Regions from separate parts of the Mus musculus genome. Here region 1 is reported to be linked to region 2. Evidence: microRNA targets listed by miRTarBase, many of them from high-throughput screens and not tested one by one. Region 2 holds a microRNA gene; the other region holds the end of a gene's coding sequence.

Evidence for each region. Region 2 holds the annotated microRNA mmu-miR-376a-3p (AUCGUAGAGGAAAAUCCACGU, at 1,874-1,894, shown strand). A microRNA usually pairs through its seed, bases 2 to 8, with sites in the 3' UTR of a target mRNA and lowers its output. Matches are read on the target gene's strand: a 7mer-m8 pairs with bases 2 to 8, a 7mer-A1 pairs with bases 2 to 7 and ends in A, and an 8mer does both.
Region 1: miRTarBase lists Pcna as a target of mmu-miR-376a-3p. The part of its 3' UTR that is shown has no 7-base or 8-base seed match.

The regions. Positions count from the first base shown.
Region 1 is chr2:132,246,697-132,249,949 of GRCm38, reverse strand. Pcna (proliferating cell nuclear antigen) reads left to right here. Exons shown (of 6, transcript NM_011045.2): 5 at 53-176; 6 at 255-664. The coding sequence ends at 334. Tmem230 (transmembrane protein 230) reads left to right here and starts at 2,162. Exons shown (of 4, transcript NM_027478.3): 1 at 2,162-2,377.
Region 2 is chr12:109,721,951-109,725,203 of GRCm38, forward strand. Mir376a (microRNA 376a) reads left to right here and starts at 1,831; the gene lies at 1,831-1,898. It overlaps Mir376c (microRNA 376c), which reads left to right and starts at 768; the gene lies at 768-853. Mir654 (microRNA 654) reads left to right here and starts at 1,268; the gene lies at 1,268-1,351. It overlaps Mir376b (microRNA 376b), which reads left to right and starts at 1,508; the gene lies at 1,508-1,589. It also overlaps Mir300.

The DNA.
Region 1 (3,253 bases), not on the chromosome of region 2:
ATCTAATAGTGTGAGTTTCTGATGTCTACAGTGAGCCTGTTTTCTCCTCTAGGTAACCATAGAGATGAATGAGCCTGTTCACCTAACGTTTGCTCTGAGGTACCTGAACTTTTTCACAAAAGCCACTCCACTGTCTCCTACAGTAACACTCAGTATGTCTGCAGATGTGCCCCTTGGTAAGATGATAAGTTTGAACATTGTTTTGTAATGTGGTATTTATAGTATTCGGTGGTTTAATTTTTCCTGTCTTTCAGTTGTAGAGTATAAAATTGCTGACATGGGACACTTAAAGTATTATTTGGCTCCCAAGATTGAAGATGAGGAAGCATCTTAGGCATTGCTAGAAATTGAGAAAACTAAACCTTTGAAGATTGCTCCTGAGATGCCAGCGTGTCCTGAGGTCTTTTCTGTCACCAAGTTTGTACCTGAGTATTCTTAAATATTAAAATAAAATATGTAGATATCTTCTGTAAATAACCTACTTTCTTTTCTCTCCATTCTCCATAATTTGCTTAAAGAATAAGCTCCAAAGTAAAAACTAGTTTTGTTAACATGAATGTTTCTGCTTTACAAATACTGGTGATTTTCATCAATGATCTTGACGCTAAATGCAGTTTTAAGAAATATTGTTCAATTTAAATAAAGTTAACAATTTGAAAAGTCATAGAGCAGTGCCGCCTTTGTACCATGGCTACTGAATAGTTATACCCTGTTAGGTAAATGGGCTTTTGTTCTCTCTTCCATCGTGGAGATAGCAATAAAAAAATGTTTCTCTTGAGTTTATGTAATTACGTTGTGCAAAGTTTTCTGGTAGCCTTGTTTGGGATGTAGCTCTTTTAAAATACAACTTTAATGGCAGTGCAGGGGGTGGGGTGGATAAATCTCTCCCTAGGCCAACCAGGACTACATACAGTCCATCTTGAGTGAAGCAAAGGCCCAAACTTCGTGGCTACTTGATCCAAGAAGGGTTAAAAAGGCCCTGTGGTTTTGATCATGATATGCTACATAAAACTAAAGAATATTTGAGTATATTTATTGTGTATGTGTGAGGCTCATGTGGGGGTCAGGACAATTTTATAGGAATTGGTATACCCCAGCACCCTGGCTTCCAGGGGTTGAATGAAGTTCTTCAAGCTTGGTGACAAATTATCCTACCTCCCCTCTCAGTTTTTATGTGTGTGTGTCTTTTGCAGGTATGAGTGAGCATGCGTGTGTTAACCTGGTTTGGTGTGGGGAACCATTTTCAGTTCTTGCTATATTTCAGCAGGATCTCAAACCATGGCTAGTATAGAGCCTGTTTGCTCTGTTCCGGGAGGCCACATTTGAAGGCCTTTAAATACTAAGCTCTATCTGTGGACCCCAAGATATTTTTCCTTTGTATTTCATGTTTGACAGTATGTAGACAATACAGCTTTGTTCTGGGAGGTTGTTGGTTAGAGCTCATGCCTAGTAGCTACAACTGTTCAATACTTTGAGCCAATTAAGTGCAGAAGGAAGTAGCCTGCAAATACTGCTCTCAGAGAACTCTGGAGTGGTGGGAATGCTTTATCAAGACGTCACTTTCATGAGGATGAATGTTAGAACTCAGCTGTGTCTGGTAGGTAGGACACTTACCTGGGTAGTGTTTAATAATCAGGTAGTAATAACAAGATTTTGGGGCTGTGAGAACGCTAATTAGTGAGTGGTGACCAGTGTCAGCATAGGGGTGTTTAGGACAGGGCAAGATTCCTGGTGGGTATCCCTTGTCCACCCCTCTGGATACCCAGGACTCTGCTGTGCACCGATGTGGCCATGGGGTCAGGACTGGAACCTCAACAGTTTTGCTGTGAACTCGATCCTGGTGGGTGAGACCCTAAGTACGCGCCCGCCCACCCTATGGAGGTAGCAGGTCCTGGTCACCAGGGCAAAAGCAAGCCGCTACCCGGTTGAGCATGGTGGCATTCGCCATTTGTCCCAGGCAAACCTTATGTTCGAGGCCAGCCTAATCAGCATCCTGAGTTCCAGGACAGCCTGCGCTACGTAAAGAAACGCTACCAAACATAAAACAAGACAGCAATGAAGCCCTCCAGCCATGTGCCCTGGAAGCAAGATTCGATGACACGATTTCCTGGTGACAGCACTTCCGGTGCGCCTCTATCCGCCACGTCACTTCCGCTGGGCTGTCCTTAAGACCGCCCCTTCCGCTTGGCTGTTGAGCGAGCCTTGCGAGCGCGCCTAACGGAGAACGGGGAGCGCAGCGCGGGTAGGGGGCGGGCGCGCGCTCCCGGAAGCCAGCCGCGAGACCTGGCCCTGCCACCGAGGCTGCTTCCCGGAGACAGTTAGTTCACGTTGGCGGCGGCGGAGGGCGACGAGAGGTTGTCCACAGCGCCACGCTTAGGTCCTTGTGGGCCCGGGAGGGTGGGCAGAAATCGTGGTGGGGCCGGTAAAAAGTGTAGCAGAAACTTGGGCTGATAGTTTTTTAAGTTGTCATTTACTATGTGATAACGCCACTCTAGAATCCCTTGCTAAGAAAAACAAATCTTCCCATTTCGTTGTCGTGCTGCAACGTTTTTGTTTTGGTGCGAGTTTATAAGTGGAAAGTACATAACTTTATAACTTGTAATACAAATCAGGCATGGTTTAATGCTTCGAAAATCCTGCTTATTGGTAGCTTCAACTTTTAGATATGAGGAATTAAACATGTTATGGGATGGCAACATCAAAAACCTAGTACCTAAGGTTTAGAAATGTAAATGGATTCCCGTTGCTCCTTTTTAGTACTTCTGAACTAGGATGTAATTAACCAAAACGCAGAAACACTTGACACCAGTTTTTTGCATGCTAGTTACTTAAGGTCGACTGTAATACCAGTGTCTGGCAGCTCATTAAGATCGAAAAAATATCACATGCCATTGTGGAGATTATGTGCAAAACATCACACCAGTGAAGGCCACTTAGTTTTCTTCTTAAAGATGGACTTTTTGCGTTTAGAATTCAAATGCCATTGCAAATAAAATAGTCTGTTTTGTTTACATAATTGTATGACTTTATAAAGAATCCACACATTTCATTTATGGTAGGGGAGAGTGTCTGGTCTTCCTATGTTGCCCAGACTGGCCTCCAACTTCGTATATCCACACCTTTCTTCCCAAGTAGTTGGGATTAGAGTAACCTACTGAAGTACTGAGCTTAAATTTCAAACTTTTAAGATTTAAACGTCATTGCTTTTAAATTTTACCTACTCTCAAATAATTCAGTAGTTATGATTTTTATT
Region 2 (3,253 bases):
GTGTCTGATGTACTCAAAAAAGATTGGACAGGAACTTGAGCTAATCTTGTAAGGACCTGGTAGTGTGGTGATAGTAAGTCATGAATGTCCTGCTTAGCCATGTCTCAAGGTGTCTTTTATACCTATCCCCAACAGTGTCACACTAATGCATTGAGCCTGTGTGTTGGAGCCTTCTGGACTTAGCCCATTTCCTAGAAAACTTCCTTGATGTCTCCAGTGCTCCGTGGCACCTACGTGGATGCCCCAGCAGCCACCTTGATGACATCTCTCCCAAGGGTACCCAGGATGGGCTGTATGGGTGTGGAACTGGTTTTGGAAATCACAAGGGAACAGATTTCTTGTCATAAACTCTCTAAGAGGGGGTGGGGGTTTACAGTAACTCCCTACTAGGCTGTGTGACAACCAGGGCTATGTTTAACTGTACGGTGGGCTCTAGATACACTTCTGTCGCTCACTTTCTGATATTCAAAAGGTGAGTGCTCCTCTATGCCTCTGGTTAATCATAGAGGTAACACCCACATTTTCAGTATCTCAAGTGGTTCTGGGATGTTTCTGAATACAAAGTGCCCCCTAGGACAAAGCAGGTTATTCCAGTCTTCCCCCACCCAGAGAACAAAGGGAGAGATGGGTTCCACAGCCTGTGCTTTCCACAGCCAGGTTGTTCCTGGAATCTGTGTCCTCTGGGGGCTGTGCCGAGGGCGCCTGTCTGCTGCCTTCTTCATTTCTGACGGATTAGGCCTCGGCTCTTTCTCTTCAGGACTAAATCTTTTGGTATTTAAAAGGTGGATATTCCTTCTATGTTTATGCTTTTTGTGATTAAACATAGAGGAAATTTCACGTTTTCAGTGTCAAATGCTGCTGGGTAATGGGCCTGAGCTGAAGCCACCACCAGGGCAGTGACAGGACAGGTGCACCCTCTTGGGTAAGTGGGGGGTCAGTGGTCCACAGAGCATGTCCTCAGGTGCCCAAGGGCCAATGAGCAATCTTGAGAGCTTCCCTCATGGGCTGCCAACTCAGCCAGAGGTCAGGGGTCTCGTTCTGGAATCCCCCACAGCTAACAAGTCTTTCCCATTGTGTCCCTTCTGTCGCAGATAGGACTGTCCTATTGGATGTCCCAAGAGTTTAAGTCTGATATCTAAAAGGTAGATTTCCCTTCTGTGGTTTTATGTTTGCTGGTCAATCTGATGGGTTTGCCTGAGTTTTGAGTCTCATGTGCTTCCTGGGTGACATGATCCACCAGGGAGATGAGGCTGGGCGCAGTGCCCTCCTCGGTAAGTGGGAAGATGGTAAGCTGCAGAACATGTGTGTTTCTCATGTCATATGTCTGCTGACCATCACCTTTGGGTCTCTGCCTGTGGAGCCAGCTTGGCACAGAGGCCGAGGCGCCTTTCAACATTCTGTTTCCTCTGCCTGAGAAGCGGGGATTTTTTTTTTTTTTTTTGTCTTGTAATCTGTTTCAGATGAGCCAAGCAGCAAGCCTGGTCCTTCCCGGAACTCAGTCCTTCTTTGGTATTTAAAAGGTGGATATTCCTTCTATGGTTACGTGCTTCCTGGATAATCATAGAGGAACATCCACTTTTTCAGTATCAAATGTCGCTCTGGAACTATTTCTGGAAGATTCTGTAGGGTCTGGGGCTGGGGGGGAAGATCATGTAATAATGAGTGGGGCGTGGCCAGAAATGGCCTTAAGAAGCCAACTGAGTGTTAGTCTGATCTGGGTCTGATATACCGCCTCTTTGGGCAGCCTGCTCACTCTGCCCAGTGGACTTCCATTTCTGTCGACACAAGCACAAGCTCACAGCATCCTGGATCGAGTTGTTCTTTGATATTTAAAAGGTAGATTCTCCTTCTATGAGTACAATATTAATGACTAATCGTAGAGGAAAATCCACGTTTTCAGTATCAAATGCTGCTTGGGAAACCACCGAGGACATGACATCTTCACCGAAGAAAGCGTGCTATCCGTCGTCTTCCTGGGCTTGGCGGGGATAGATAGATTTGTGACTTGTGTGATGTGTGCCTATATGCCAGCCTCTCCCAGTGATGTGTTCTGAGACCACTGTGTTCTTTATATCCCTTCTCTGACCTCAAATGAAGTTGTTTCTCTGTGTGCTCACCATGTGTATGTTTTCTGGAGTCGGCTTCTTTTTTCTGTAGCGATATGTCTTGGAGAGCTCCTGGGTGGGCCATCATTTTGGGTAAGGGCGCCTTGGGTAACCCTTTGGGGGGTGTGCGGAGAAGGGGGGGCATGTGAATCATCTGGAAGTGTAACCTCCAAATGTGCCCCCTCAGGCTCACATCCGGACCGTCATCGCATCTGTCATCGCACCGGACCAGCTCTCCCCAGCGCTCCTTATCGTTTGCTACTTGAAGAGAGGTTATCCTTTGTGTGTTTGCTTTACGCGAAATGAATATGCAAGGGCAAGCTCTCTTCGAGGAGCAAATGCTGCCTGGAAGCATGGCTGGCGGCGGCCTGGGCCTAGCAGAAGGGTGTGGTCTCTCCAGGGTAAGTAAATGCATGGTGGGCCACCGAGCTTGAGCTCCTTCTTCGTCTGACCCTACAGATCTCACACATGCTTCTGAGAACTTTCTAGAAAAAAATGCTGATCCTAAGGGCTGTTCTTGGTAGAGCCTAGGAAACTGTGCCTCCCCTTCTGACAGCCCTTCGCAGTGTGGTGTGCATGCCAGGTCGTCTTCTAAGGCCAAAAGAGTGTCAGCAGCAAGCCAGTGCCCATTTAGATGTGGGTTTTCTGCCCACCATTGCCAACCTGTCCTTACAATCACCTTTAAGGCTTCCCATCCACTTAAGGGAAAGGGGGTTGGTGGATATCCAAAGTAAAGATGCTCCCAGAGGCTACCAAGACCATTAAGCCTCCTTCTCCAGGTGTCCTCTTCACCTTGTGTGTCACAGCATGAATTTATGTTAAGGTTGTCTAAAGAACCTTGGTTCTGGGGGTCGGGTGGAGGTGGGGCATCTCACCTCCCTCCGGTGAGCCTTGCATGGGTCTGATGTTTATAGTGATAAGTCTCCCATAGTCCTCTGAACTCCCCAAGAAGGGCAGAAGGAAGGTCCAGAGGTCTCCATACTGCTCCAGTTTGGGGAAGAGGGTGGGGGCTTTCAGAGAGCTAGTTTTCCGGTTTTTCTTCTTTCTTGAATGATGCATGTTGCTGTGCGTACTAATCCTGCTCTTTCGATGACCATCTGGAGGACTTCCTGGAGGCTGCAGCTGTGGGCACAGGTGGAGGCTTTCTT